Tribolium castaneum: one gene and its partner. Each later gene encodes a partner of the first gene's protein in a complex. Links are inferred from orthologs where the notes say so. Each region holds a gene or a part of one and is shown on either strand. Other genes may lie near its edges. The genes, in order: queuine tRNA-ribosyltransferase accessory subunit 2 and Tgt.

The links.
Region 2: the proteins of queuine tRNA-ribosyltransferase accessory subunit 2 (region 1) and Tgt are in contact, whole or in part, in a crystal structure (PDB 7OVS), measured with the Mus musculus proteins. The link is inferred for Tribolium castaneum from reciprocal best matches to the Homo sapiens genes QTRT2 and QTRT1. Residues at the interface, in NP_001343258.1 of Mus musculus: Arg39, Thr40, Gly41, Ser42, Ala43, Pro44, His45, Leu46, Thr47, His48, Gln49, Thr50, Asn53, Glu70, His71, Glu73, Val74, Glu77, Tyr78, Phe85, Ile86, Gly87, Phe119, Gln342, Glu343, Phe345, Tyr355, Asn359, His360, Ala363; in NP_068688.2 of Mus musculus: Thr50, Thr53, Met54, Lys55, Gly56, Ile57, Thr58, Thr59, Glu60, Gln61, Ser64, Arg80, Pro81, Leu85, Lys88, Ala89, Phe95, Met96, Asn97, Ala307, Lys308, Phe310, Pro320, Thr324, His325, Ala328, Phe329, Ala332, Leu333, His335.

What each region holds. Positions count from the first base shown.
Region 1 is NC_087394.1:37,092,779-37,097,139, reverse strand, and holds queuine tRNA-ribosyltransferase accessory subunit 2, read right to left. Parts: upstream 2,767-4,361; 5' UTR 2,441-2,766; coding exon 2,324-2,440; intron 2,281-2,323; coding exon 1,660-2,280; intron 1,609-1,659; coding exon 1,409-1,608; intron 938-1,408; coding exon 812-937; intron 751-811; coding exon 627-750; 3' UTR 548-626; downstream 1-547. Other genes in the region: Snx16 (sorting nexin-16), read right to left, coding at 1-139, 185-339; Nelf-E (negative elongation factor E), read left to right, coding at 3,035-3,115, 3,159-3,649, 3,700-3,754. UniProt on the Homo sapiens protein: Non-catalytic subunit of the queuine tRNA-ribosyltransferase (TGT) that catalyzes the base-exchange of a guanine (G) residue with queuine (Q) at position 34 (anticodon wobble position) in tRNAs with GU(N) anticodons (tRNA-Asp, -Asn, -His and -Tyr), resulting in the hypermodified nucleoside queuosine (7-(((4,5-cis-dihydroxy-2-cyclopenten-1-yl)amino)methyl)-7-deazaguanosine).
Region 2 is NC_087398.1:8,185,426-8,189,129, forward strand, and holds Tgt (queuine tRNA-ribosyltransferase catalytic subunit), read left to right. Parts: upstream 1-1,474; 5' UTR 1,475-1,585; coding exon 1,586-1,714; intron 1,715-1,766; coding exon 1,767-1,856; intron 1,857-1,907; coding exon 1,908-2,200; intron 2,201-2,254; coding exon 2,255-2,416; intron 2,417-2,521; coding exon 2,522-2,690; intron 2,691-2,737; coding exon 2,738-3,085; 3' UTR 3,086-3,123; downstream 3,124-3,704. Other genes in the region: coiled-coil domain-containing protein 25, read right to left, coding at 3,161-3,360, 3,404-3,662.

The DNA of each region.
Region 1 (4,361 bases):
TATCGGAATTTGTATATTGTTGAGATTGTCTCCGTTGTATGAGAAAAAATTGGCGTTTTCTTCAGGAATCGAATTTTCTTCAACTAGTGTTGAATTGGAATCATTGGAAGTCGTGGTGGAATATTGGAAGTTGCGATATCTGTCCACTAATTAATTTCCAACTCTTTGAAGTAAAATAACTCACCTTAAAGGTTCTGATAGGTAGTCTTCAGAATCAGTCGTGATAGCCTCCTCAGCGGTCTCACAATCTTCATTATTGTTCCCTTGAAGTGGGTGCCCCATTTCTTGCACTTTAAGTTGGCTTAACTTATCGCTAATCTCTGATTTTTGCTGATCCATTGTTTAAAAATAGTCATAACCTCAAAACTGCCACGATTAATTAACACCAACTAACTGTACAAATCACTCATTGTGAAATAATTCATTTAATTAAGTATTTAGAGCACAAACGTAAATAATGGAGACAACAAACTGAATGACTTAACCTTAAAAAACAGCTGTTTTTTGCGAATCGAGGTTAAGTAAGGGGGGCGGGACTTAAGTCAAGTTATCAAACGGACAATTTATTTAAAAATAATAGAAAAACAGTCGTACAACACGAAAATTTTGTACAATTTGGTGTCCCGTCACTTGGTTTTTTGGTGGTTTTGGAATTGTTCCGTTATGCTCACTTGGAGTGCTTGTAAGGTGTTTGATTTCACGCACTTGCGGATTTTTTCGAAAAATCGCAAATAGTGGTACACATTGTGTCTGGAAAATTATTATTATTATTAATCATAATTATATTTTTTCTTCTAATTAAAATATTCACATCATCACGAGGATTGGCCCCAGGAGCTCATGTACTGATAGCAAGTGGTGTATGTATGCCCTTGAATATTTTGTGCAAGACGTGCAATTGCAACCAGTTAGAATTGGCTGAAAATCGTCCAAATATCTGAAAAAAATTGACACTTTTTGTGAGAAAATACACCAAGCATTCAATTAAATTTCGATAAAGTGGGCTGTGATTTTGGAATTAAGTTGGCAACAATAATGTCAATTCTGGTGATATGCTGCATTTGGTTCATTTTCTTGAACAAAACTTCATAAAAAAGTAATACAAAAAAACCCAAAATGTTGTCAAAAATAACGTTATTTTGCGCGAAAATCACTTAAATTGTAACGAAATTGTTTTTTTCCAGCTGTATATTAGCTGTTTCGACTTAGCACAAGAATTCGTTAAAAATAAAGGGAACCACAAATTTTATCGAAAAAAACTCGTTTTTTCAACCCTTTAACTAAATTTTGAACAAAATTCTCTCTTTTCCTTTGTGAGTTATTGTTACTAAAGCCTGAAAAATCATCATTGCCAACATAATGTTAGAACCAATTTAATCAGAAATTTAACTGAACAAAAAGTACCTACTTTGCGTCTCTTAGATTTATTTCATACGTGTCTGTCTGATCTGTTGGTTCTATCGCAAAAGTCATTGCTGCTGATCTTTCAGTGAGAATATGACAATATGAGGAGTCAAACAAATCAATCCCCATTTCGACCAAATTAATAACATTTACGGGATTCCAACAGCCTTGAATGACCCGTAGTTTATCAGTGGGTAATTTATTCTAAAAAAAAATTACCATAAAATTCGAAATAATGAAGCGGTTGTTAAATACCAAAATATTTTTCACCACGGGCTCAATTTCAGCAAATTCCAAAAACTCGGTCTCGGGACCATTATTATGAAGTCCATCTATTAAAAACCCACCTACATCTTTGACATCTGCTAGAATCGATTTGAGAAACTTTTCCCGAGCTAATTGTTTATAACCCCCCACTACAGGAGCAATCACAAACGAATTGGCTAAAGTTTGCGATTTTCGGTGTCTCTCCAAACACTCCTTGTAGAAACTGACTGTGTTACTGAGTGATTTTGAAATGCGTTTTTCCGAACTGCTGATATTGGTGTCTCCATCAGAGAGCAAGAAATAAATGTCAGGCTTGAAAGACTCCACCACGTCCATGTAGCTTTTAGCGTCGTAATAAACCTTGCCGTTTTTCGTCCAAATGGGCACTTTTAACGTGGAATTGTGCCCCTGTTTTGTGATATTGCAAGGGTCTTGAAGAGTGAGACAAGTCAGACTGTCTTTACTACCAATGAAATTGGAAATGGTCCCTTCGTAATACTGCATCGCCTCTTTAAACGTGTGCATCCCAGCTAAAGGGATTTGCAAGATCTGGGGGTCCCTACTGACCAGTTTAAACACCTCATGTGTAATGTGAGGGATTTGACCGCCCTAAATTAAATTTTAAGGACAGTTAACCAAATAGGGGACTCACCTGTGTGTGGAGCATTACTGCAGGAGTCTTGATCGAGACAGAAGGCTTGGCATCGATCTCTGAAAGAGTCCCCAAACGTTGGGCACACTTTGAGACAGATTCCACGTAAAATTTCATCGTTAATTTACACTAAATGCACTCGGAAAAGTGTGAAAAAGCAGTCTATACAACTAAAATCACTTCCAGAATTAGGTTTTGACAAATAAAGCAAACATGACATTCAAAAATCCGAAAAAAGTGGACACATGCCGGCCTAACCTTACTTTTGCATGCCTCACAAATGGGAAAAAATAGATGACAGGGCGCAAAAACACACTCATTTACGTTTTAAAAACGAACTTCACATGATTTCATTCATTAATATACCAAAACTTTGCCAGTTTTTTCATTATTTAATTGTGGTTGTTTTGTAGTTTTTTTGGCATTTTTTGTGTGGCAACGTGTGACATATCGAAATTTACAGTGGCCCAGTACAGTATTGCGTGAATTAAAAAAATAACTAGCGTATTAAATTTTGGACATTGAGTTAGCTGACTGGAATTGGTTATAAAGTGAATAGTTTATCTAAATTAAACAATTAAAATTAATTGAATTATGAACTAGTACTGTGATTTTCGACCTTTTGCACATTAAACCGCTGTTAGTGTTGATGTTTATTCATCGAACTGTCATTCAGTTTGCAAATTGGACAAGTTTTTTTTTGATTAAACGATGGTTTACATTCATTTTCCGGCAAATTTCACTGAAGAGGAGCTCATGCTCCAAGCCAAATACCAGAAACTTAAGAAAAAGGTAAGTGGAACGGTGTAAACAACCTTTTCTAACTTCCTCTCAGAAAAAGGCTTTGCAAGCCCTGAAAGCCCCCAAACCCGAGCCCGAAAAGCCCATTACGCCTAAACGGCCAGCGGAGGCTCGAGATGCTCGTGAGGTTGCGAAAAAACTTATCAAATCCGGTGCCATTCCGGCCATTTCCAAACAACAAAAACAGCCAGAACAGGGCTTTAAACGGCCTAGAGGCTTGGAAAGAAAACTGATTTCGGATAAAATTGTGAGTGGTTATCAGCCTTTTTCGGCTGTGCAGATGGACGATGGGCCTGATAACCCCGAAAATAAGCCGCCAAGGATTAAGAATTTGTATGATACTTTTGCTAATGCGCGTGATAGGGAAGAGAGGGGTTTGACTGAGAAACAGAGGGAAAAGCCGGATAAACCCAGGCAAGGGAATACGATTTATGTGTCAGGGTATAAGATAACGGAGGAGTTTTTGAAGAAGCATTTTTCAACGATTGGAAATATTGTGAATATTTCAATGGAGATTGAGAAAAAGTATGAGGGGGTACAATTTTTATGTGGGGTTTTACATGTTTGGGTTTTAGTCGCGGGTTTGTCACGTTTGATAAGGTGGAAGCCGCCGAACGGGCCATAGCTGAGGTAGGTTTTTATTTGTGATTTTTTGGTCATTGTTTACAATAGTTTTTTATTGAGTTACAAAAGAGAAAACACGAAAAAATTAAAAAAGAATTTTGTGTTTGTCTCAAAAATGTGCTTAAAGACGTGAAGAAGGTGAAGAACAGTATTTTCGGCTTAATTTGCTTGTTTTTCTTACATTTTGTAAATAATTGTGTTTCTGGATAACAAACGAGCTAGTCTTAGAAAAAAAAGGCAAGAATAATGTAATCATCGCAAAAACTGTAAGATTTTTGCTTTAAAAGTGTCTTTAAATTATTGAAAACGGTAAAAATAACAGCAACTTTGACAAAATTTTGTGTTTTTACTGATTGAATTTTCGGCACAATTTCACAAACTTTCGGGAGGAAAACTGTGATTTTGGTTTAGAAATTGTTACATTTATTAATTGGCGGAAAACTATAAAAGTAACACCATATTCGAACTAAATCGGCGATTTTTTGACGTATTATTTACTCGGTCATTAATTAAGAAATATAAAATTCTGCGTCTTAATTTTCTTGTTTATTTGAAAGCAACAGGTGATTGTGACATTAATATTCAATTTTTTTGGTGTATTATTGGTTATTTT
Region 2 (3,704 bases), on another chromosome or scaffold:
TGGTTTTGTAAAAATTACCTCTTGTAAAAGAATGAAGCATTCACCGAATTATTAAATTCACGTAACATTATAAAGAATAGTTCATCTTAATAAAAAACAAACATACAAAAATACTTAGATTTTTTCCTGGGCTAATAAAATAAAAAAAAATCTATTCTGAGTTATTTTCTAGTTTTGTTTTATGTAAGTAATTAACTATTCGTCAGCGTGCTGACGAGTTGAGGCTGTTAATGGTTTTTCCTTAATTTAAAGTAGTTTAAATATCTTATTATGTGTGTATTAATGAATTTACCTATTACCTCAGAAAGATTAATTTTTATTGCAAAAGTCAACTGCTACAAATAGTAGCAGTACATAAAAAATGAATAAAAAATTTCTTTTTTTTAATAAAAAAAGTGCAAACATAACATAAAGATGACAGCATCAAAAAAAACTTCATAAAAACATAATCAAATACAAAAAAATAACCATTTGAATCAGGAACAAATTATTTAACAATGCTGAAGGTACTGCACATCAGCGACAAACCAAGTCGCTGCGTTAAAAAATAATAAGCAAATGCTATTTCTCAATATTCTCCAGTAGCATTTTTATGTATGTGTAGAACTGGAACTAAATTCCTCCATATCTAGCCGTAAATAAAAATAAAAAATGCACCACATTTCTTTATTTACTTCAAGGCGGAAGTGATGACGATATGTTGCTATGTTATTATTGTAAATGCATTGCATAACATGCGCTTTGTACAATATTTACAAGTGCAACAGCATAATAAAAAATACAAATGTGATGTTTTTTTCGCCAAAATTGTAATAATTCCTCAATTTTTGTGCAACTGTTTTGATTTAATGCACATTGTGTAAAAATAAATTGTGACCATGAATCATATGTTGCATCAAACGATGCTAGAGAGAAGCGACTTTAATGTTTTTTGTTGCGTAGTTTATTTACGACACAGCTTTAAATGCAATTATAGATAGGCTTCCCGTATGACTGTAATTGCCCATTTATTGTGTTTTTCTTGCAGCTAAAAATAATATGCTAATTATTTCATATAATTTTCTAGCACGATCATTCAGTCGCCCAGATTATCCTCGTTATAGATTTTTTATAAAATAAATAATAAAGCAGCACAAGTTTGTTTTTCAGCTTGGAAATGTATTTTTTTTGTATTGAGTTTTTTTTATTTTTAATGAATAGTGAATCTCATTGATTCACAATTCCTTTACAATACAGAAATTGTAATGTATTTTTATCTGCTATTTTGTTAAATAAATGCAGTTTGGAATGTTTGGATGTTGCTAATTTGAAACGGGATATTTAGCCTTGGATTTTATTACATAAATGTTAAGATCGTTAAAATGCATTGTGCAATAACACGTAATACAGGACATAACATAGATTAATAAAAAAACTGATTCTTCGTGTTTTTTTCTTTTTTATTCGAATTTTGCGGATTTTTCGCAACATTTGACTTTCGAGATCAAATCTACTGACAGTATATTATGAGGTTATGTGATTTTAACCTCAAAAATTCCTCATTTACAACACATTTTTATTTATTAAAAACAACATTTGCAACATTATGACCACAAAAAGTCCGCTAGTTTTCACACTCATTGCCGAATGCCACACCACAAAGGCCCGCGTAAGCCGCATGGTGTTGCCCCACGGCCCCGTTGACATGCCGGTATTCATGCCTGTTGGAACTCAGGTAGATAAATAGTAAATTCCCAATTATACGCCCTTTTCTAATTATTACGTAGGGAACCTTGAAAGGAATGTTGCCGGAACAGCTTGAAGAGCTCGGCCTCCAAATCATGCTTGCCAATACTTATCATTTAGGCACAAAACCAGTACGACACTCGCCAAAAATTAAATCAAGATTAAATTATCCATACTTGTAGGGTGTCGAAATTTTGGAAAAAGCCGGCGGTTTGCATAAATTTATGAACTGGAACAATTGTCTTTTGACGGATTCTGGGGGCTTCCAGATGGTGTCGTTGTTAAAATTGGCTGAAATCACAGAGGAGGGTGTACGTTTTCAGCCTCTGAATGACCAAAAGGCTGAAGTTATGTTGACACCCGAACATTCCATTGAAATTCAAAACGCAATCGGGGCTGACATAGTCATGCAATTGGATGATGTTGTCAGGACCACGAATCCAGATAAGGCGAGAATTGAGGAATCTGTGCACAGGTTTATTCAAAATTAAGATTTTACTTTAATAATCAAGTCACCCATGATTTATAGAACGACAAGGTGGCTTGATCGGTGTTTGCAAGCGCACAAAAAACCGGACACCCAAAGCATTTTTCCAATAGTACAAGGGACCCTCTATGAGGATTTACGTGAGATAAGCGCCAAAGATCACATCAAGAGACACGTCAATGGATATGCCATTGGTGGTCTAAGGTATTTATCAACAAATATTTTATCTAGTCTCAAATGACAGATAACTGGTTAATTTCACAACACTCTTGATATACGTTCTTTTAATCTTTTATAAAACACTTGCAGTGGAGGTGAAAGTAAAGACGATTTTTGGAAAATAGTCCACTTATGTACCAATATTTTACCAAAGGACAAACCCCGCTACTTGATGGGCGTTGGCTTTGCCGAAGATTTAGTAATTTGTTGCGCCTTAGGTTGCGACATGTTTGACTGTGTTTTTCCAACAAGGACGGCGGTAATTTACCGAATATAATAATTTTGTCCTAATAGAATTTTTTATAGAGGTTTGGTTGTGCATTAACGAGGACAGGTCAACTCAATTTAAAGAAAGAAAAATTCAAAAAAGACTTCAAACCTATTGATGAAAACTGTCCCTGTAAAACGTGTAAAAACTACACCAGAGCTTATCTGAATGGTGTTGTGACAGTGTACCCATCAGCCTGTCACCTAATCACTGAACATAACGTGGTCTTTCAAATGCGTTTGATGAAAGACATCAGAGAGAGTATCAAGCAAGACAAGTTCCCCGAATTTGTGCGCAAATTCATGTTGGACCTTTATCCAAATAAGGAGTATCCTACTTGGGTTAGGGACTCGTTAAGTGCGGTCAACATAAGCCTAACGGTATAAGTATTAATTTATTTTATACAATAAATAGAAAAAAAGAACGGAAGTATCTTATTTACATTAAGGAGTGTTACCGGTTTACATGAAGTCGTCTGAATCGTTCCCGTCGTCATACTTGGACATGTTTTCAGTGCTCATCAGAGAGTTGTAACTTTTTAACTCTGCCTCCTCCTTTTTCCGTTTCTCTTCCTCTTTTTCCCGCTCTTTTTGCTCCCTCAACACCTTCTTTTTGTCCTCCCTTTCTAATCTGTCTCTCTTCTCCCGCTCGGCTCTAAAATCTACCAAAAAATTGGGGAACACCAAGGGAAATTGACCCAGTACCTGGATGTTCCTCTCGTTTCGTTCGGTTCAGTCTATTTACAATTTCATTGACTCGTTTTGCGACTTTAATTTTCCTCACTTCTTTCTCTTTGTGGAAGCCAACTTGACCCACTTCCATGGCAGGCGTCTTCTTCAAATTGTGCCACATGGTGTAAACAACTTCAATATCGTTCATTTTGTTCCCCATTATGCTGTTGGCTTTCACTAACTGAGCAGCGTCTTCCAAAACCGAAGACGGAATATCGTCAATGGTCTGACCCTAAAAGACGATAATTAATTCACGTTAGGGAGATAAGGCCAA